3 linked regions of the Sus scrofa genome follow. The protein of the gene in region 1 purifies or fractionates together with the protein of each later gene. This does not show direct contact. Links are inferred from orthologs where the notes say so. Each region holds a gene or a part of one and is shown in the gene's direction. Other genes may lie near its edges.

Region 1 (7,689 bases):
GGAAGTTCCCAGGCTAGGGGTCGAATTGGAGCTGCAGCTGCCAGCCTACACCACAGCCACAGCAATGCAGGATCCAAGCTGTGTCTGCGACCTACACCACAGCTCACGGCAATGCCGGATCCCTGACCCAATGAGTGCGGCCAGGGATCGAACCCACATCCTCATGGACACTAGTAGGATTTGTTTCTACTGTGCCACAACAGGAACTCCAATTTTTTCTTTTCTTTTTTTTCTGAAAGTGGGTCCTATACAATGTAGCAACATTTTAGTTTTAATTAATTAATTAATTATTTGGCTTCACCCCAGCATGTGAAAGTCCGGGGGCCAGAGATTGAACCTGTGCCATAACAGTGACCTGAGCCACAGCAGGGACAATGCCAGATCCTCAACCCGCTGAGCTATGAGGGAACTTCCTATAGCAACATTTTTTTTTTCTGGCCCCACCTGTGGCATGTGGAAGCTCCTGGGCCGGGGACTGAACCCATACCACAGCAGCAACCCAAACTGCTGCAGTGATAACACCAGATCCCTAACCTGCTGTGCCACAAGAGAACTCCAGCAACGTTTTTTGTTTTTTCTTTCTAGGGCCACACCTGCAGCATATGGAAGTTCCCAGGCTAGGGGTGGAGTCAGCCAATGCCACAGCCACAGCAAAACCAGATCGGAGCCATGTCTGCGACCTACACCACAGCTCACCACAATGCCGGATCCTTAACCTACTTGCGAGGCCAGGAATCAAACCCGAATCCTCATGGATATTAGTCGGATTCATAACCCGCTGAGCCACAACAGGAACTCCTCCAGCAACATTTTTAAGAGGGTGTCAGCTAGGCCTAGCATTTTGTGATGCTGGAAGGTTCCAGTGACCTTCTAGAGCCTGGTCAGCAACCAGGAAGGGCAGAGAAGACCCAAGGGGGAGAGAACTGTGGACATTTTACTAGCAGATTCAAACTGGAAAGGGAGAGGAGAGTCAGATCAGGCAGAGCTTGTTTGGATTCGGGGATCGCACCCTTCAAGAGGAGACCCAGGAGCTACAGACACACCCAGGCACTGTGCCCACAAAGTCTAAGCTGATAAGGGATACCACAAAGGCCTGCTAAGGATGGCACAAAGAGCCAGCACCTTTGCCCTGGAGACCAAGACGTGCCTTCCCCAGGGAGGGTTGCACGGGGGTGGAAAGGATGGCGTTGTTCTCTCCCATAGGCTTTAGGACATAGCAGCTGGGAGTGGGGGCTTCGGTACCCTGAGTCAGTAACCTTGCCTGGGGCTCCTCTGGAGAGAGGTTCAGTGGGTGTCAGGACAACCCTCTGGCCTAACAGGGAACATTCAGAGCCAAATGATGGCCAGAGGTATTATTACTGTTATTACCCCCCCCCCCGGGGCAGTGCCAGCCCCACCACAAACCCTAGGGGGATAATGTCTCAAATTCTTCCCCAGCCCACCTAGGCAGGTACTGCTCTGAGCCCCTAGGGACCACTCATCGGTTGGTGTAGTGTGATCTGGGGCAGCCCTGACTCTCCCTCTGCCTCAGGGGCACATCTTAGGGTCACGATGTGTTGGGTCCGCACAGGGTGCTGTAGCTCCCTATTGGCTCCCACTTCCCTGACATCTGTCCTCCCGCAGCCTCAGGTCCTGTCTCTGCAGAATTTGGCGAGTCTTACCTGGGTTCCTGTCACCCTGCTTGGGAGCCTCATCCTATAGCTGGGGATTAAGAGAAGCAGAAGTCTGAGGAGGCGCTCAGTGGCACTCGAAGTCCATCCAGCTGCATGGTGAGCTTACAGGTCTTTTTCTTTTTTGCCCTACCATTGGGCACTCTGCTTTTCACCAAGTGGCTGCACAGGAACCCATCCAGCAGTCATTCAGGTCTAGAGATTGGACTGGGCAGGGAGTGGTGAGTTTGGCAGGAGAGACGGACTGAACAGGCCAAGGCCAGTGGCAGGCAGGGGCTAGCACATTAGCTTCCCCTCTCCCCAGGTTCTTCTGGGCTTCTACACAATACCAAGAACCCTCACCTCATACCTGAGTTCACTGTCCTTACAGCCATGGGCCCGACAAGTGTGTCCAGGGGGTCGAGAGAGAGAGCAGACGGAACTGTGATTAGGGAAACCAGGAGAGCTTCCTTGAAGAGGTGCCCTGGTCAGGATTCCCACAGACAGAGAAATGGGAATGACCTTCGTTCAGAGCGAAGGGAACCAACTAAGTAAAGGCAGGGAAGAGTGGCTGCCCTTCTCTCCAAAAACTCCTTGCTTTCTGGGATCGATTTCCTGGCTCTGCCTTCATCCCCTTATTGTCCCAGTTCTGGGGGTCTCTGAGGACCCCCTCCCTGATCGGCAATGGCCTGCCTTTTGAATGCACACCTGCCTGTGGCACTCCTCTTAAGAACACCCTCAACCCCACCTCAGGTCTTTCCTTTTACCCACCTCCCGCCAAAATCGAGTTCAGGCATTAATCACTGGACAAATATTTAAAGAACACCAGCTGGCCCGCGCGCTGGGGACCAGGAGGGCACTCCCGGGCCCAAGGAGCAGTGGGGGCTGCAGGTGCGCCACCGGGAGCTTCCAAAACACAGTGAACCCTGCACGGACAGAGGCAATTCTGGGGAAGGGAGCGGTCGCCTAGTCTAAGGGGCGGGCTTCTCAGAGGAAGCGATGTCTGAAGAAACTTCTCGGTCAATCCCAGACGAACCCTAAGTGCCTCAGTCTCGGACTCCACGGTCTAGCACGCTACCCGCCCGCACGCGGGGCCGGGTCTGCGAGCCTTTGCTGGAGCGCTGCGCATTTCCCCGGGTCTGCGTGGAGAGCGCGCCTACAACACCGCTCCACTCTATCCCCAGGCGGAGTACCGGCAGCGCTGCGTGTCCCTCGCGTTACCCCGTCGCCACGCCACGCCCCCTTCCCGTTCCCCGGAAGTGCATTCGTAGAAGCGGAAGTGCATGTCTACAGTTGCGGCCGAGGTTCCGCGATGGTGGGCGGCGGCGGAGGTGGCGTTGGGGGCGGCCTTCTGGAGAACGCGAACCCCCTCATTTACGAGCGCTCTGGGGAGCGGCCAGTGACCGCGGGCGAGGAAGACGAGCAAGTTCCAGACAGCATCGATGCGCGCGAGATCTTCGATATCCGCCGCTGCCGGGCGCGGGCGGGTTCACGGGTCCTGGGATGGGGTGGGATGTGGTGATGTCCAATAGTTGGTGGAGCTGTATCAGGGCCGAGCATTCCCGGCGGAGGGTTCTGAGTGGGCAGAAGCGCAGAGTCCCTTTTCCTTCACTTAGCACATCTGATTCGCTCCATCAATGACCCGGAGCATCCACTGACGCTGGAAGAATTGAACGTAGTAGAGCAAGTCCGGGTTCAGGTGAGTCACCTCCAGCATCCCGGGGGAGTGACTTGTTCCAGGGAGTCAGAAAGGCTCAACTTTGCTCCGGGGGGTGGGTGTTGTCTCAGCTCACAGAATCCTCAAGGGTCTTTGGAAGGGGGTGGGGTGTGTGCCTATTCTGTAGATGAGGAAACTGCATCCTACAGTGTTTAAGACAACTTGCCTGAAGCAGTAAACTAAGAAGAGGGGCTCTGGGCTAAGGGGGCCATGTCTCCCAACACTCCACCTCCTCAACCAGGTAAGCGACCCTGAGAGCACAGTGGCTGTGGCTTTCACACCCACCATTCCGCATTGCAGTATGGCCACCCTTATTGGCCTGTCCATCAAAGTCAAGCTTCTGCGATCCCTTCCTCAGCGTTTTAAGGTAAGTTGGAACTGAGCCCTAGGCGTGGGGCAGGCATGAGTGTCTGCTACTGAGGAGGGCGTGGAGAGCATGAACATGGATAACACAGTGAGACCTGAAGGGATCCCAGCTCGCAGAGATGAAACCGGGAGGAGGCTTTCCAATTGGATGGGACAGGATTTAGAGGCCCAAGCTGGAAAGTGCAGAAAAGTAGTGAGGAATGTGGCCTTAGGGGGCTGTGGATAGGTTTGGAGCAAGGATGGGGTCCAGGCAGGCTTTTGAGTCAGTAGCAGTTGGCCAGTCTTTTGGGTAGAGTTGCAGTGGCCATGAGTGGGTTTGGGTGTAATGGAAGGACCAGAGTCCAGAGGCATGAATGTGGAGACGGAAAGGGGTGGATGGGTGTGTGAGTGCCCAGACCCCACTTCTCTTCCTCCCAGATGGACGTGCACATTACGCCAGGGACCCATGCCTCTGAGCATGCAGGTAAGCATGGGCTGATGTCAAGGCATTGGCCTGGAGGCTTCCCCTTGCCGTTGTGGTTTGTAGGGCAAGATGGAGGGTAGGGCATGTGGCACGAGGTGGGTGCCCCCTCAGGGAGCTGGCCCGACTTGAGTCTCCAGTGTTTATTGTGTTCTCCCACTCCTACCCTCTCCCTGTCCTGAGTACACAGGACAAGGGTGTGTCTGGCTTTATAGTGTAGGAGGCAGACTTGGGTGGCGGGGTGGGAGAGGTCACAGAAAGGTGCAATAGGTGTGGGCTCAGGTGCTTGGGGTAGCCTGATCAAGCTTGGAGTCTTGGGAAGGAGAGGAGAGGAGGACTTTTTTCTTTTCTTTTGCTTTTTAAGGCTGCAGGTGTGGCATATGGAAGGGGTCACATCGGAGCTGCAGCTGCTGACCTACACCACAGCCACGGCAATGTGGGACCTGAGCTGTGTTTGAGACCTACACCACAGCTCATGGCAATGCCAGATCCTTAACCCACTGAGTGAGGCTAGAGATCGAACCCACGTCCTCATGGATACTAGTTGGCTTTGTTACCGTTGAGCCTCAGTGGGAACTCCCAGAGAGAATGACTTCGTTGGTGGGGGTATAAATATTTTTCACCTCTCTCCTTTCCACCCAGTGAACAAGCAGCTCGCAGATAAAGAGCGGGTGGCAGCTGCCCTAGAGAACACCCACCTGCTGGAGGTTGTGAACCAGTGTCTGTCAGCTCGCTCCTGAACCTGGATTTTTGCTCCCAGTCCCATTCAGGACTCATGGCCTTGTTTTCTTGAAATCACTGACAGTAAGAAACTAACATTTTGCATTTTGTAATAAACCCTTATTTATATTCCTCTTCCAGCATGCCTGAGAGTCTTTCATCTCAGTGGGATTAACGCTGGGTTTGGGGGTGGGGGTGGTAGTGCCTGTAGAGACTGGGTCAGTGAGGTTCAGATCATTTAAAAAACTGTCTCTTCAGAGGAAAGAAAATGTTCTGCTGATGGTTTGATCAGGAAAAGTATGCCAAAAAAATTGAAAAATTAATGTAGTGAACACTCCTATATAAGCACCACCTAAATTTGATAGTTGTTAACATGTTGCAACATTGGCTTTATTTGTGTGTGTGTAGAATATAAATATACTTGAGAGTAAGCTGCAGACACATGACCTTTCACTTCTAAGTTCTTCCTAAGAATAAGCTTGTAATCACAGTGGTTGTTTGGTCCCCAAATGAACAGTTCCCTGATGCTCATATCTAACGTCCAGTCAAATGTGAATTTCCCCAAAGTGTCATTCATAGTTGGTTTATTAATCAGGCTTTAGTCAAGTTTCATGTATTGCATTTGGTTGTCTTACTCTCTTTAGCCTCTTCTAGACCTGTCTCCCCACCCCCACCATGTAATCTTTCTTGACACTGATCTCTTTTGGGTTTTTTTTTTTTTTTTCCTCGGTCTTTTTGTCTTTTTAGGACCACACCCGTGGCATATGGAAGTTCCTGGGCTAGGGGTCCAGTTGGAGCTATAGCCATCGGCCTACACCACAGCCATAGCGACGCTGGATCCAAGCCATGTCTGTGACTTGCACTACAGCTCAATGCAACGCTGCATCCTTAACCCACTGAGCGAGGCCAGGGATCAAACCCGAGTCCTCATGGATGCTAGTTGGGTTCGTTAACCTCTGAACCACGACGGGAGCTCCGACACTGACCATTTTGAAAAGCCCAGGTGGGTCGTCCTGGAGAATCCCATGGTCTGATGGGTTCCTTAGTCTGCTGGGTTTCCTGTAAACTCGAAGTTGAGTTCAGGTTTGAGTTTATTAATGAGGACATTTGCCAGGAGTTGGATCCTTAACTTCCAGCAGGAGCTGTGTGATGTCAGCTTGTCCCCACTGTTAATAATGCTCACCCTGGTCCCTGGTCAGGGCAGTGACAGCAGATTTCTCTGTTGAAAGTCACCTGAAGCACTCTCTCCACTGGCAGCCTCTGCCTCCTCCAGCACAGTTGGCCACCAGGACACCATGGGGCTTAGACCTTGGAACAGCCAGTTAGGAGTCATAATGTCATGATTTCCTATTCTTTGAGGATAAATGGGATATTAAGAAGTCTTACCCTGTCTACCTGGTGGGCAGAGGCCTCAACAGGGAGCCTGGGCACTTGGCAGATCGGTTCTTGAGGGCTAGCTGACAACATGGAGCTGATCCTAAGGGTGGGCATTGACACATATACTACCTAGTCGTTCAGTCCTTGAGCCATCCCTGTGTGGCAGTTGATATTCTTTATTTTCTCTATTTCGCCGGTGAGGAAAGAGGCTTCCAGATTAGGTAATTTACTCCCTAAAACCTCCAGTTAGGGAGTAGAGGAACCTGAGTAGTTCAGTAGGTGATACTCGGTTGGCAGGGGGCGCTGTTGTCTGGCTGAATGAGCCTGTGCCCACCTCCAGCCCCCAGTTCCTGGCAGAGGTGGCTCTGCCACCTAGTGACCAAGATCTGGCTGCTCAGAAAGATGAAGCCACTGGCCTGTGTCACCCATTTGTGAGGGGAGTTAACAATAGCTAAGTACTGCTCTGCGAAGATTTAAAATGAATCTGGACCGGGAGTTCCCACTGAGGCTCAGCAGTAACGAACCCAGCTAGTATCCATGAGGACTCGGGTTTGATCCCTGGCCTTGTTCAGTGGGTTAAGGATCCCAAGTTGCCATGGGCTGTGGTGTAGGTCACAGATGAGGCTTGGATCCCTCATTGCTGTGGCTGTGGTGTAGGTCAGCAGCTACAGCTCCAATTTGACCCCTAGCCTGTGAACTTCCATATACCGTGAGTGAGGCCCTAAAAAAAAAAAAAAGAAAAGAAAATGGATCTGGACCCATTTCAAGTGATCTTCCAGGCAAAGTACCCTCCCCTGCTCCTATTCCCACAGATGAAGCAGCTCCAGTGCTCCGGAGAGGCAGATGACCAATCAGGACCCCTCGGGCCCCAGGGAGCCTTCCCAGCTGCCAATACCCAGTTGTAGGCTTTACCACGTGTGTGCCTCTGCACTGACAGCCCCGTCTGTCTTAAGTGTCTGTGGTGTCTGTGTTCAGCTGGGGTTGGGAGGTCACAGGGGAGACAGGTGTCACTGAGTCAGTGAGCTGGCCCTCCTGGCAGCCAGGCCATGGCGGATGAGGGACATCAAGCTGCTCACATCACAGCTGGTGTATCAGATAGTCCTTTGTCAGTTTTGACTCATCTGTGGCTGGCCCCTGGCTGCCTGCAGGGACATCATTTTTGAATCCTGGGCTAGTGCCTGGGGAACTTTCTGGAATCCCAGCTGCTGTCTGAGAACACGGAGTTGGGAGGGGGTGAAGTTTTAGGTTCCCGAAGCCCTCTACCAGGTGTGTCTGGCTCTGCTGTTTCTGGCCTTTGCCTTCTCTGGCCTCAGTCACCATGTCTACAGAATGCAAACAACAAAGTGAGATTGACCCAGGGATTAGATGACATGTGGGAACATGCTCAGCCCTGTCCATTT
Region 2 (7,284 bases), on another chromosome or scaffold:
CACTATCAGTGAGATTTATCTGATATCTCCTGTATTTCTGTATCTCCCATATTTTCTGTAAACTTGAAGTTAAATCTAAAGACTTTATTAGATTCAGGTTTGGCAAGAATATTTCATAGGCAATGTTATGTTAAACAGATTTTCTGAGGGACTCCTCTGCTTGTGTCATTTATAACTTTCCGTGATAGAGAAGATGCCTTCTGCATCCTGTGATACACTACTGGATGACATAGAAGATATTGTGTCCCAAGAAGATTCAAAGCCACAGGACAGGCATTTTGCAAGAAAGCAAGTCGTTCCAAAGGTGCGAAGGCGAAATACCCAAAAATACTTGCAAGACGAAAACAGTCCACCAAGTGATAGGTAAACTTTTTTATTTTTTTTGAAACTAAATTCAGTCTCATACCAGGGGAGAGGCTGGCACTACTGTATATGATAGACGTAATGTCTCTTTTAACAAATCTTTGAACTGGTGAGAAGAAAAATGTAGATTTATTTATTTTTTTAATTCAGATGGTTTTATATTTAGTGAAGTCATTGTTTGAAAAAGACCTCAAACTGCAAGTCCATTAAAGGCAGGGCTAAGCCAGTATCTGGCAGAGCAAGGATCACCCTTCTTCCCCTGGGCAGGGTCTCTTTGATATTACTGTAGTTGGTGTGTAATTGGTGCTTCTAAATTAAAAATTTTTATTGGCACTTGTGATTCTTATGCGAGAGTGGCAGTTTGAGCATTTGATTTTTCTTAGCATATTTACAGTTACTTAGAGATCATCTAAAGGCATTGGACACAAATTATTATGTTTTTACACTGTCTTATTAGGTCTCTAGTTTAGTGCAATTCTAATGTAACCTAGCCAGAAAAGATTATGCAGTTATATTGTTTTAGTATGCTTAAACTGTTTATCTAGTAAATTGTTGAAAGTTTTAATATATTTGATTATTTTGTTTGGAACAGTAAGCTTTAAAAATCTATGAATATAAAATTTGCTTATGATGACTGAAATCTGTTAAATTTGTCCTGAACATGTCCTTAAGCTAATGCCTATTGAATTATTAATTATTAGAGCCATCCAAGTTGTGAAAGTCCTTTTTCCTTCCTAAAAATATTGCATTTTTTAGAACTTTATATATGGAGTACTTTCATTTATTTGTTTTTTATTTATTTTAAGACATTTATTTATTTATTTTTGTCTTTTGCTATTTCTTTGGGCCGCTCCCGCGGCATATGGAGGTTCCCAGGCTAGGGGTCCAGTTGGAGCTGTAGCCACCGGCCTACGCCAGAGCCACAGCAACTCGGGATCCGAGCCGCGTCTGCAACCTACACCACAGCTCACGGCAACGCCAGATCGTTAACCCACTGAGCAAGGCCAGGGACCGAACCTGCAACCTCATGGTTCCTAGTCGGATTCGTTAACCACTGCGCCATGATGGGAACTCCTATTTATTTATTTATTCTTTTGGCTGTGCCTGTGGCATGTGGAAGTTCCTGGGCCAGAGAATCAAACCTGTGCCAGAGCAGCACCTTGAGCTGCTGCAGTGACAATGCCAGATCTTTAACCCTCTGTACCACAAGGGAGCCCCTATGGAGTACTTTTAATAATGCCATAAGGTGACAGATTTTTTTTTTTTTTTTTTTTTTTTTTTTGCTTTTTAGGGCCACATCTGTGGTATACGGAGGTTCCCAGGCTAGGGGTCAAATTGGAGCTGCAGCTGCTGGCCTATACCATAGCCACAGCAACACAGGATCTGAGCCGCATCTGTGACCTATACCATAGCTCACGGCAATGCCAGATCCTTAACCCCCTGAGCAAGGCCAGGAATTGAACCTGCAACCTCATGGTTCCTAGTCGGATTCATTTCTGCTGCGCCCCGACAGGAACTCCCAGATTTTCATTTTGATTGCTGTTTAATCTATAACTTATAAAGATTGTAACTAGTATGTAGTAGTCTGAGCATATAGATGCTTAATTTTTCCTTATTTGCCATTTAAGTTAGTACCATTGACTGTGCTATTGTGATTTGTACCTTTCCGAGAGTTGAATTTAGTGTTCGTATTTAGTAGTATTGAACTTAAAATACAATTCAATGAAATAGAAGATATTTTTTATATATAGAGTCTTAACTTACAGTTCTGTGCTTATTTTATACTGATTTTTAGACTTTTGGTGTAACAACAGATTACAAATTTAGTTGATGTTTTAATGAATAGCTTGTGAATGTATAGCAGTGTTTGTTTTTGCATAGTATGCCCAGAAATTATCTAGTATTTTTTACTTAAAAAAATCCCTTAATGAGACTTTTTTTTTTTTTGATCAATTAAAACAGCACTATTCCAGGCATTCAGAAAATTTGGATACGAACATGGGGTTGTTCTCATAATAATTCAGATGGAGAGTACATGGCTGGACAACTAGCTGCTTATGGATATAAAATTACAGGTAATGACATCTGTAATGTGTTTTATTGATTACGTTTTTCAGTGCTAAGTTTTTTAGAGGTATACTGGCTTCAGCAAAGGATATTTTAGTATAACTTAATGATTTTAAGGCAGAAAAATAGTGATAGCTAATACATATTATAGGTAACTGCCATTTACCCTCGAATAATATGGGTTTGAACTGTGTGGATCCATTTATCCATGGATTTTCTTCAGTACATATACTGGTATGTTTGCAGTGTATGTTTGGTTGTATCCTTTGATGTGGAACCCTCTGATACAGAGGACTGACTGTGGGAATTGAACATATGTGGATTTTGGTACCCACCTGAGGTCTGGAACTAGTCCCTGCAGATCTAAGAGATGACTGTGTATATATCATATTTTTAAAAAGCTTAAAGCTTGATTCTGAAGTAAGATTGGACTTAGAGAAAAGTAGTAAAATTGCAGAGTTCATATGTACCTTTCACCTAGCTTCTCCTAATCCTAACATCTTATATAATTATAATTAAGAAACTGTGAAATTAGCATTAGTGTAATACTCTTATATAAACTCGGACCTTGTTTGATTTTACCAGGTTTCCCATTTATGTCCTTTTTCTGTTCCAGGATCCAATCTAGGATCTCACTTTATATTTATTCATAATGTCTCTTCAGCCTCCTCCAGCCTGTGATAGTTCCTCATTTTTTTCTTGTCTTTTATGACCTTGACTCTTCTGAAGAAAATTGATTATTTTGTAGATAGTTTCTCATGGTTAGAATAAGGTATGCATTTTTTGGCAAGAGTACAAAAGTGATATTATATCCTACTAGTATATGGTATGGGAGAGATTTTATGATGTTAGTACACTGATCTTTGTCTTCTAGATATCTCCACAGTAAAGTTATTATTTTTCTTACTGTAACTAATATTTTGTGTCTCCTCAACCTTTTGCCTACTAATGCTAGTATTTGATAATTTTAGCATCCGTTAGTGGATCTTGCCTGCGACAGTTATTGCTGTTATTTGCTTAATGGTGATTTTCTCTTTTCTTCCGTGTTTAGTAATTGGAATTTTTCTTTGAGGAAGAGCTGTCCTTTCTGCCCTATTTTACTTGTTTATATCAGCATGGACTCATGGATATTTATTTTATTCTGTAGGTTATAGTTCAATGCTGTTATTTATTTCGTTGCCTGTATTGTTCCAGCTTTAGCATAGGACCCTGTTCAGGCTTGTTCCTATGCCTTTTAAACGTGTCCCCATACCTTTTTAAATGGTTCTTTATTTTCTGGCACCACAAGATATTCTGGTCTTGTATTTTCCTTTCTCCAGCTTCAGAAGCAACCACGTTCCCAAGGAACTCTGCTCCCTTTCATTAGGAGAATGGTGTTGAAAACCAGGCCAGAGATCTGGGCACGAGGTGTGCTTATTACCACCATGAAGTGTCAGAGCTTCTAGGTTGTCTTAGTGGACAACGTTAGGAAATGCATTTATGTACTATCTGGCACATACACACGTCTCTGTTTCTGTTGTTTGTATATTAAATTGGAATATAACATGAAGGCTTTGTAGCAGGCAGTGGCCTAGTGCTTTGTGTGTTGTCTTTGTGATATAAGGACATATTAGCATCCCTCCTTCATAGGTGAGAATGGAGAGGTCGTATCTTACCTTAAATCACATAGGCAGTGGAGTTTGCTGCTCCAAGACACTGCTCCTGACCATCAGTCTGTATTGCATAGCAGGTTGCCTTAGCGCATTCAGTTGGTCAGTCATAGCTTCAGGTGGATGTGAGGACTAGAGAGGATTCCTTTCATAACAGTGTTTCCTTTAGTAACTAAATGGTCATATGTCATTAACTCTGCTTTCGATAACTCATTCTTTAGACAGCAACGTCACTCTTAAGACAGGTGAAAACACTCAAAGTCTGTTTCTAGAATTGCTTCTCTGTATTCGTTGGTAATTTTGAGTATAATTTAGCCTGGACTCGCCTTAATACGTTCTGATGGTGCAGTTTGAAATTAAGAAAATAGGCTTGAAGATAATTTCTTAAAACATTACAAATCAGATCCTGACTTTTCTTAGATGAAATTAAACATCCAACATGTTTTAACTTGAGTTTTAGTCCATTAGCAGTTTTATGGTCTTAGAATAGTACTTTCTATGTAAAATAACAGTCCTGATGTGTTTACATAAGAATATTAAGCTTTGTCATGCACACCTAATTTTGATTTCTTATTTGGGAATAGTAAAAAGGGAAAATTAAGAAAGCAATCACTTGAATGTGAAATTGATTTTTCTTATTAATGTAGTATATTGCTTTTATATACTTGCATTTACTTAGATGATTTGTATCAATTTTTTTTTTTTTTTTAATTTTCTTTAGGGCCGCATGGGCAGCATATGGAAGTTCCCAGGCTAGATGTGAAATCAGAGTTACAGCTGCTGACCTCTGCCACAGCTGTAGCAACGCAGGATCTGAGCTATGTCTGCAGACTACACTGCAGCTCATGGCAACGCTGGATCTTTAACCACCAAGAGAGGCCAGGGATCAAACCTGCATCCTCAAGGATACTAGTCGGGTTTATTTCCAAGAGCCACAGCGGGGACTCCTATAGTGGTTTTTTTTTTTTTTTTAATATGATTTAGAAACATATATTTCATGACTGTGTTCTTCTAGTAAATAATTTTGGTAGACTAAACTCCCCTAATTCTCTCCCCCCCATTAATGCTGTCTTTAGTTATTGTTTTGGGGTAATTTCTTTTGAAGATGTAAGTAAATTATTTTAATTGTCCTCATTGGTGGCAGATCTTCATATCTTGAGAGTATATTTAGTGTTAAAATGTTCACAGGTCATTCAAGACCAAAACTGATGAACAAAGTAGGTGACATGATATTGAACAATACAGTTTTAGTGAAAAACAAGGCATTTTAGTTTATCTTGACTGATTTCTGAAAATTATTCTATAAGAGTTCCAAGAAATGTGTATGGCAGTGATTCTTACACTTTCTGGGTCTCTTCAGAACCTCACAACTCTTGGAGTTCCTGTTGTGGCACAGTGGAAATGAATCCGACTGGGAAGTATGAGGTGGTGGGTTTGATCCCTGGCCTCACTCAATGGTTTAAGAATCTGGCATTGCTGTGGCTGTGGTGTAGGCCCGCAGCTACAGCTCCAATTTGACCCCTAGCCTGGGAACTTCCAAGTGCCATGGGTGTGGCCCTAAAAAAAAAAAAAAAAAAAAAAGAACCTCTTAACTCATATAATTTCAGCAAAGAACTCATAACCATTGCCTAGCCCAGTGGTGGAATGAAAGTATGGCGACTGCTTTAGGGTCGGCCATCATATAGATAAAGGTATGCTAGAGATATGTTGGAGAGATAGAAAGATGTTGGAGAGAGCTGTATATACGTGTATATATATTTTTGGCCGCACTCACGGCATGTGGAAGTTCCTGGGCCAGGAACTGAACCTGTGTCACAGCAGCAACCTGAGCTACTGCAGTGAGAATGCCGAGTCCTTAACCAGCTGTGCCACAAGAGAACTCCCTGGAGAAAACTGTGTTGTTTAGTGTGGGGTCATGTCTGCTGTGAGTGTTTTTAGCATTGCCTTTGGTTAGTGGAAAAAAATCCATCACCAGGTTCTAGTTCATAAACACATGAGAGTAATGTGTGTTATATGTATGGAATATTTGTGATAAGCTTACCCGAGTCAGAATAGAGCATTTAGCTTGGGTACCCACAGTTTCAGAGAAATCATTTTAAAATTGCTGGGCTGTTACAATTCTTGATGGTTTCTTTGTGTATTTGTATAAAGTTTATTCATTCAGCACATATTCTCTGAACATGATATGTGTTAACAGGGTATAGTGCTAGGAGACATGGACAAGAGGATTCCAGCAGACAAAAGGATTATTGTTTTCTGGCAGAGGAAAAGCCTTCATATTGTGTGCTAAATCTTACAAGTTATTTTAGTCAAGCTTTTAAAATGGATTCTTTCATTTTTTTATAATTATTAAAAGAATGTCTCCAGTTTATATTTTAGAAGTGCTTGATGTTAATGTCAAGTCAGACTATAAAGTCTCAGGTTTGAGTTAAGAAAGTTAAAATCTCTTTGTGCTGTAGAAACAAACACAGTGTATTTGGTAAAGGACACAGTATTGTAATTGACTAAAGTGTAAGCATATTTTCTAGATCGGGCCATTTAGTTTGAAGTGGTTTTAAATTTTAAGGCTGAGGTCAGTGGGGTGTATTAAATTGACATATGGAAATGTTTGTGTAAGGAATACTCTTAACAACCACAGATGTGGACAGTAGAATTTTAAGGATATTAAAGCTACACTTTTGTTTTTGGACCTGGATTTTTGAAAATCATACTTCTTGCAAATAATTAAAATATGAGCACACATAAAGTTTCTTATAAAAAGAAACAAACTTTGCCTGCTTTCTTATCTGTTTTATGAACTGATGACCATGACATTTCATTAATATCTTGAGTTTACCTGCATAATAAAGGATATTAAGATGAGGAGTAGGTTAATTGTGGGAAGGTGAAAAAGCAGTAGACTTCAGCTACTTCAAAATACAGCCATTCTTCTCTTACAGAAGACCTTATTTTTGCGCTGGCTGTCAAAGTGAAATCAGGGTTTTTGTACACATTTTCAGGGAGAGGAGCTGAATTGGTTAAAAGCCTACTATGTGTTTGTCCTTTCATATAAGTTACTGCAAGGATCAAATGAATAACTTTGGCATGTGGTTATTTCCTATTTTAAGATGAGTTTGAGGAGTTCCTGTCGTGGCGCAGTGGTTAATGAATCCAACTGGGAACCATGAGGTTGCGGGTTTGATTCCCGACCTTTCTCAGTGGGTTA
Region 3 (7,854 bases), about 24 Mb from region 1:
ACACGTGATTACATTTCCGACACACCTCGATAGCTCAAGGTCATATCTGCAAATTCCCTTTTTGCCATCTGTGGGATCAAAATAAAAATGGAGTCAGTATTGCTAGAAGAGTGCTCTCAAATGGAGCTGGGAGGCCACTGAGGAAGTGTGATTTAGGCACCTCTCAGCCTGGATGGAATCTGACCTTTTGACCACCTATTGTCCTAACATAGGCATCTAGAACATCTGCCAAAAATGCGGGATACTTAGTCAGACCCTTATCCTAAAATAACTCATGACAGCCTATCTATTTGTGGGACTCTTACCCTAAATAACTTGATTTCTTTAGGACAGATATTCCCTGGCGCATATCAGAGTCAACTGGGATTCTCACCACACAACAACCTTGTGGCTATTGTCAGCAAGGCCTTCCCTGACTACCCTATACATTTTTTTTGTCTTTTTAGGGCCGCACCCGCGGCATATGGAAGTTCCCAGGCTAGGGGTCAAATCAGAGCTGCAGCTCTTGGCCACAGCAACGTGAGATCTGAGCTGCGTCTGCGACTTACACCACAGCTCCTGGCAACAGCAGATCCTTAACCCACTGAGCAAGGCCAGGGATGGAACCCACGTCCTCATGGATACTAGTTGGGTTCATTACCGCTGAGCCACAAGGGGAACTTCTGGCTACCCTATTTAAATTGCAATGCATCCTGGGTAGGCTGAATAATGGTCCCCAAAGGTCTCCAGGCCCTGATCCCTGGAACCTCTTAATGTTCCCTTACATGTGTCAACCAAAAATTAACACAGAACAAAACACAGAAGGCTGCAATAAGACAATTGTGATTCTAGGAGTTCCCGTTGTGGTGTAGCAGAAATGAATCCAAGTAGTAACCATGAAGTTGCAGGTTCGATCCTTGGTCTCGCTCAGTGGGTTAAGGATCTGGCATTGCCGTGAGCCGTGGTATAGGTTGTAGACACGGCTTGGATCTCGTGTGGCTGTGGCTATGGCATAGGCTGGCGGCTGTAGCTCTTATTAGACCCCCAGCCTGGGAGCCTCCATATGCCGCTGGCTTCGGCCCTAAAAAAGCAGAAAAGAAAAAAAAAAAAGAATTATGATTCTGGAGACAGATTCAGGTAAAACTGAAGGAGGGTTCTGGGGAAGAGAAAGAGTCGGGGGCTGAGGCAAGAGCCTTCCAGACACAGAGAACTATGACTACAAGAAGGCTCTCAATCACCCCTGCCATCTGGCAGTCACGTCCTTGAGTAAAGCCTCCCCTTGACCAGGAGCTGGATGTAGAGATGTATTCTAAGAAATGTTTTACACTTGGCGCTCCCTACCCGTGGGTTCTGCTCAACCAACAGTGGATTGAAAATACAGTCATCTGGAGTTCCCATTGTGGCTTAGTGGTAACTAGTATCCATGAAGATGCAGGTTCCATCCCTGGCCTCGCTCAATGCGTTAAGGATCTGGTGTTGCCGCGAGCTGTGTTGTAGGTTGCAGATGTGGCTCAGATCTGGCATTGCTGTGGTTGTGGTGTAGGCCGGCAGCTATAGCTCTGATTGGACCTCTAGCCTGGGAACTTCCATATGCCTCAGGTGTGGCCCTAAAAAGCAAAGAAAGAAGTGGAAAAAAAAAAAAAGGAAGAAAGAAAATACAGTCATCCCTTGGAGTTCCTGCTGTGGATAGTGGGTTAGTGATCTGGCTTGTCTCTGTGGTGGTGTTAGTTTGATCCTTGTCCTGGCACAGTGGGTTAAAGATGCTGTGTTGCTACAGCTGTGGCATAGGTTGCATCTCTTGGTATAAGCGGGAGGAATGGCTCCTCCAGGGATACCAAAATCTATGAATACTGAAGCCCCTCATATAAAATCTCACAGTACAGTTTTCCAGGGCAGACTGTGAGGGACCTGAGCATATATTTACTGAACCCCTGGTCTGTGCAGGCCCCGTACTTGGTGGCAAAGGGCACAAAGCAGTGACCCAAACAGTGTCAGCCCTATACTCCTGGAGCTCACAGTCCAGTGGGGGAGACAGAACCATCCCCGGGCTGTGACAACCCAGAGCGGGCAGGGCTGGGATGGGGGTGGCATGGGTAGCGGCACCTGGCCTAGCTGTAAAGCCTTGGGCAAGTGGGGATAATGAAGGAGTTCCCTTCGTGGCTCAGCGGTTAACGAACCTGACTAGGATCCATGAGGATGTGGGTTCAGTCCCTGGCCTCTCTCATTGGGGTAAGGATCTGCCGTTTCCAAGAGCTGTGGTGTAGGTTGCAGACACAGTTCGGATCTGGTGTTGCTGCGGCTGTGGCCAGCAGATGTAACTCTGATTTGACCCCTAGTCTGGAAACTTCAATATACTGTGGGTGAGGTCCTGGGGAAAAAAAAAAAAAAAAAGTGGGGATAATGACACATACCCACACATGGCATTTATCACAGTCAAATGAGAATATACTTTCACAAGTTAGGCAGTGGTTGAAGTATTTAGTGAGACATGACCCTGAGCCTTAAGAGATGCCACACTGGAGTTCCTCTCGTGGTGCAGCAGAAACAAATCCAACTAGGGACCATGAGGTTTTGGGTTTGATCCCCGGCCTCGCTCAGTGGCTAAGGATCTGGTGTTGCCTGTGAGCTGTGGTGTAGGTCACAGACGCGGGAGGCTTGGATCTGGAGTTGCTATGGCTGTGGTGTAGGCCAGCAGCTGTAGCTCCAATTAGACCCCCTAGTCTGGGAACCTCCATGTGCCCCACGTGCGGCCCTAAAAAGCAACAACAACATAAAAAAGATGCCACGCAGGTGCTCCTTGCACTACCACGTACAGGAGAACAGACTGGGAATAACGACCATGTGAGATGTCAAATGGCTGGGTGTAAAGCATGGGATGGCTTCCATTTCGGAGGTTTGTGCTCCCCAAGCCGCATTCCAGCCCCATCTTGCTGTCCTCTGCTTCCACTTGCCTTCAGCGGTGTCCTCTGCGCCTGCAGCGAAGTCTGGGCCACCTTACCCTGCCTCACTTACTCCTCACCCGACCCCTCCCTCAGGAAGCCCTCTCTGATCCCCCAGGCAGGGTCAGGAACCCTCTCTAGGGCCCCCCATTCTAGTCCTGATTACTTTGTTCAAGTGGAGGGGGCATCTTAAAAGCTAGACTATAATAGAATGAAATCAAGTGTGTATTCACTGCTCATAATTCAGACATATGCAGGAAGCCAGAATCCCAGTAAGTAGGATCGATTCTCTCGGTTCTCTTCCTTCCATGTTTTGTTCTTGGTCCTCGGCGATCCTCAGCAATGCCTGTGGTACCGCCCCCCCGCCCCTGCCTTGCCGTGCGCACGCGCATTATCCGATTGACGGCCCCCCAGTGGAGTGACGGGAGGAATCAGCCAATGGTGTCTTGACGAAGGTGGAGCAGAGCCTCGAGGACGCCCTGCGGACCCTGCCTTTACTAGATATTCATGAGGGAGGCGGGCCGACGCTTCTGCGAGTAGCGGCCGGCGCCATGAAGTGAGAGGGGTTCGGGGGCTCGCGGCTTGCGAAGCGGGCGCGGGAGTCTGGACGATGCCAGGACCCGTGGGCGCCCCTGGGGTCCCAGCGGGGCGAGGGGAGGCTGAAGGGGTGGGGTGGGGATAGCCGTGGGGACCCACGGGGCGGTAACGGGGATAGTCAGCGATGAGATGCCAAAGGTACCCAGAGGCTCCTGGGCAACTCGGGGATATCTGGGGAGACCAGCGGGCCAGTTTCGGGCTGGTAACCCCTCTCGGCCTGACGACAGCGGAGTGTGGGTGCTGGAGAGGGGCTGAGGGGACGGGCGACTGACCCGGCAGCCCCTGCCTCCAGGCTCAACGTGGACGGGCTGCTGGTCTATTTCCCGTACGACTACATCTACCCGGAGCAGTTCTCCTACATGCTGGAGCTTAAACGCACGCTGGATGCCAAGGTGGGTGGCTGGGGCTGCCTCACGTGCGTCTAAGACTGAGATTGCAGGACGTCTAGAGTTTGGAAATCTGAGGTCCGTGGGAGGCCAGTACGGCCAAACTTCGTCTTATCTAAAATAATACGGGTTAATAACAGCAGCAGCTAACATTTATCAGAGGCTGCGTTGCTCAGCGGCTGGCTTAGGAACATAAAGAGTTTGGAACCAGCTCCTTGGGTTGGAATCCTGGACCCACAGCTGTGTGCCCTTGGGTAACTCACTTAACCTCCCTGTGAACAGTTTTCACCTCTGTAAAACGAGCCTAGTAATAATACCTACCTTAGAGGTTAATATGAAGGCTCTAGGGGTTAATTCACTACCTAAAGCAGCTGTTCTCAATTAAGGAACGTTTTGACACCCCTCTACCTTCCCCCCCATTCACCGATATCAAGAGACATTCCTGGCTGTCATACTAGTGGGGAGGGGGTGTGGCTGGCATCTAGAGGCCACAGATGCTGCTAAACATTGTAAGGTGCACAGGACAACCCCCCACAATCAAGTTGGGGTTTTTTGGAGGGGGGGCATGCCCAGGGCATGTGGAAATTCCTGGGCCAGGGATCAAACCTGAGCCACAGCAGTGACAATGCCGAATCCTTAATCACTAGACCTCCAGGGAACTCCCAGGTGTTTGTTTGTTTGTTTTTACAATTTTTTAACCCGGGCCTCAGCAGTGAAAACACTGAGTCCTAACCCCTAGACCACCCAGAGAACTCACAATCAAGTATTATCCAGCCCCCAAATGTCAATAGATTCGCTGTTGAGAAACTGATGTAGGACCCTTGGTAGTGGTGCCAGACCCAGAGTAAGTGCTGGGGAGGGGCTTGCTACATTAAAAAGGATTCACTACCTGTTGGGTACTATGCGGAATGTTTAAACCTAGTTTCTTACTCGTCCTCCTAGTTGTGCTATGAAGAAGAGACCCATTTTAGAGATGAGGATACTGAGGCCCAGCCAGGTGAAGGCATTTGCCTAAGTCCACTCAACAGAAGTGGGGTTCAAATCCACTGCCCTGGGGCCCAGACTTTTAACTGATGTGTTGACATGCTCTTCCAGGATTGGGGGGGGGCACTCCCCAGAGTTTGTGTCTCTGAAGTTCTGAGAGCCTTGTTCTTCCTCAACACCAGGGTCACGGAGTCCTGGAGATGCCCTCAGGCACCGGGAAGACCGTGTCCCTGTTGGCCCTGATCATGGCATACCAGCGGGTGAGTGACCCACTGGGCGCGTGGAGGGGGAAGAGGCTGGAGGGGGAAGAGGCTGAGCCCATTGTCGTCGGCAGGCGTATCCGCTGGAGGTGACTAAACTCATCTACTGCTCGAGGACTGTGCCCGAGATTGAGAAGGTGAGCCTGGAGCCAAGCCCACTGCTCCCCGACTCGGTCGGAGCCCTTGGGTTCCCCTGGCAGTTGCCACCAGAGCTTCAGGGGCGTTTGGAAAGCCGGGTAAGGGGTGGGGGCCTGGCTGGGCAGGGGCTGGGGCTTGTGCTTTCAATCAGGCCAAGTCCTGCTCCCTCATCAACTGGAACAGGTGATTGAAGAGCTTCGAAAGTTACTCAGCTTCTATGAGAAACAGGAGGGCGAGAAGCTGCCATTCCTGGGGCTGGCTCTGAGCTCCCGGAAGAACCTGTGTATTCACCCCGAGGTGAGTGCCTGTCCTGCCCCTTGCCCTAAGCCTTAGGGTTGAGGAAACTTTTTCTTTTTTCTTTCCTTTTTTTTTTTTTTTAGGGCCACACCCGCAGCATACGGAGATTCCCAGGCTATGGGGTCGAATCAGAGCTACAGCTGCTGGCCTACGCCACAGCTCACATCAATGCCGGACCCTTAACGCACTGAGTGAGGCCGGGGTCAAGCCTTCGTCCTCATGGATGCTAGTCAGATTCGTTTCCGTTGAGCCACAGTGGGAACTCCCTGGGTTGAGGAAACTCTTGGTCCAACCAGGAGCCCTGGATCCCCAGACTAGGCCTCTCGGGGGATGTTCTGGGGACGCAGAGTCCTCCTCTCACTCAAGTGCTGACACCGCGTTTTGGTAAGCACCCCTCTTCCCAGCTCCGGACTCCGGCAGCCCTGCTTGCCTGGCTCTGAAACGGGCTGGTCATGTACTTATTTTGTTTTTTTCGTTTTTGGCCACACTTTTGGAAGTTTCCCAGCCGGAGACTGAATCCGAGCCGCAGCTGAGGCCATGCCTGATCCTTAACCTGCTGTGCCACAGTGGGAACTCGGCTGTGTACTCTTGCATAGGTGATTTCTGCTCTCTGGATTTCAGTCTTCCATTCTGTAAAATGAGGGTAATTAACTACCTGGAGTTGCCTGGTGGCACAGCAGGTTAAGATTCAGTGTCATTACCTGTGGTGCAGGTCACAACTGTGGCTCGGGTTCGATCCCTGGCCCAGGAACTTCCACATACTATGGGCACGGCCAAAAAAATTAACTACCTGCTTCATACAGTTGTTGATAAGTTTGGGCAAGGGGTGGGGGCTGGGCAAAATGGGTGAAGGGGTCAAAAAAGTAGACTAGTTATAAAAGAAATAGGTCGTGGGGATGTAATGTACACTTGGCCCTGTTATGTGTGGATCCAAAACCTGCGGATAGGGGAGCTCCTATCATGGTGCGGTGGAAACGAATCTGACTAGGAACCATGAGGTTGCTGGTTCGATCCCTGGCCTCTCTCAGCGGGTTAAAGATCCGGCGTTGCTGTGAGCTGTGGTGTAGGTCGCAGACACAGCTCGGATCTGATGTTGCTGTGACATAGGTCGTGGCTACTGTGCCATTTAATATAAGGGACTTGAGCATCTGCGGGTTTGGTATCCGTGGGGCGGACTTGGAACTAGTCCCCCCCCCAAGCCCCCCGCAGATACTGAGGGCAGCTGTACAGCATGGTGACCATAGCTCATAATACTCTATCATATATTTGAAAGTTTTAAGAGAATAAATCTTAAAAGTTCTCATTATAAGGAAAAAAAATTGTGAAGGGAGTTCCCTTTGTGGCTCAGTGGTTAATGAACCCGACTAGGATCCATGAGGATGTGGGTTCGATCCCTGGCCTGGCTCAGTGGGCTAAGGATCTGGTGTTGCTGTGAGCGGTGGTGTAGGTTGCAGATGTGGCTCAGATCTGGCGTGGCTGTGGCTCTGATTAGACCCCTATCCTGGGAACTTCCATGTGCCTCAAATTGGCCTTAAAAAGAAAAAAAATTGTGAAATTCTCCTGTGGCCCAGCAGGTTAAGGATCTGGGGTTGTTACTGCAGCGGCTCAGGTCAGTGCTGTAGTGAGGGTTTGAGATCCCTGGCCTGGGAACTTCCATATGCTATGAGCACGGTGGGAAAGAAAAAAAATTGTAAATGTGTGTGGTGATAAATTTAAGAAAAAAAAATTTTTTTTTTTTTTTTTTTTTTTTTGGTCTTTTTGCCAATTCTCCGGCCGCTCCCACGGCATATGGAGGTTTTCTCTGGATAGATGCCCAGGAGTGGAATTTCTGGATCATATGGTAATTTTGTTTTCAGTTTTTTGAGGAATCTCCATACTGTTTTCCATAGTGGTTGTACCAATTTACATTTCCACCAACAGTGTAAGAGGGTTCCCTTTTCTCCACACCCTCTCCAGCATTTATTGTTTGTAGACTTTGGGTTTTTTTTTTTTGCCTTTTAAGGGCCACACCTGCAGCATATGGAAGTTCCCAGTTAGGGGTCGAATCAGAGCTATAGCTGCCGGCCTACACCACGGCCCCAGGCACTTGGGATCTGAGCTGCGTCTGTGACCTACATCACAGCTCAGAGCAACGCCAGATCCCCGACCCAGTGATCAAGGCCAGGGATCAAACCCAAATCCTGGATTTGTTTCCTCTGTGCCACAACAGGCATTCCCTGTTTGTAGATTTTGATGATGGCCATTCTGGCCCCGTGTAAGGTAGTACCTCATAGT

What was found.
Region 2: the proteins of FAM96B (region 1) and CDKAL1 purify together in Homo sapiens (affinity purification with mass spectrometry; 3 studies listed by BioGRID and IntAct, with this or other methods). This does not show direct contact. The link is inferred for Sus scrofa from reciprocal best matches to the Homo sapiens genes CIAO2B and CDKAL1.
Region 3: the proteins of FAM96B (region 1) and ERCC2 purify together in Homo sapiens (affinity purification with western blotting; 3 studies listed by BioGRID and IntAct, with this or other methods). This does not show direct contact. The link is inferred for Sus scrofa from reciprocal best matches to the Homo sapiens genes CIAO2B and ERCC2.

The regions. Positions count from the first base shown.
Region 1 is NC_010448.4:27,607,832-27,615,520, reverse strand, and holds FAM96B (mitotic spindle-associated MMXD complex subunit MIP18), read left to right. Parts: upstream 1-2,903; 5' UTR 2,904-2,961; coding exon 2,962-3,109; intron 3,110-3,268; coding exon 3,269-3,348; intron 3,349-3,607; coding exon 3,608-3,733; intron 3,734-4,149; coding exon 4,150-4,195; intron 4,196-4,834; coding exon 4,835-4,932; 3' UTR 4,933-5,052; downstream 5,053-7,689.
Region 2 is NC_010449.5:15,922,511-15,929,794, forward strand, and holds part of CDKAL1 (threonylcarbamoyladenosine tRNA methylthiotransferase), read left to right. Parts: intron 1-138; exon of another isoform or gene 139-188; 5' UTR 189-193; coding exon 194-363; intron 364-2,325; coding exon 2,326-2,438; intron 2,439-7,284. UniProt on the Homo sapiens protein: Catalyzes the methylthiolation of N6-threonylcarbamoyladenosine (t(6)A), leading to the formation of 2-methylthio-N6-threonylcarbamoyladenosine (ms(2)t(6)A) at position 37 in tRNAs that read codons beginning with adenine.
Region 3 is NC_010448.4:51,752,977-51,760,830, reverse strand, and holds the start of ERCC2 (TFIIH basal transcription factor complex helicase XPD subunit), read left to right. Parts: upstream 1-3,322; 5' UTR 3,323-3,469; coding exon 3,470-3,474; intron 3,475-3,590; exon of another isoform or gene 3,591-3,807; coding exon 3,808-3,907; intron 3,908-5,067; coding exon 5,068-5,145; intron 5,146-5,219; coding exon 5,220-5,282; intron 5,283-5,466; coding exon 5,467-5,580; intron 5,581-7,854. UniProt on the Homo sapiens protein: ATP-dependent 5'-3' DNA helicase. Component of the general transcription and DNA repair factor IIH (TFIIH) core complex, not absolutely essential for minimal transcription in vitro.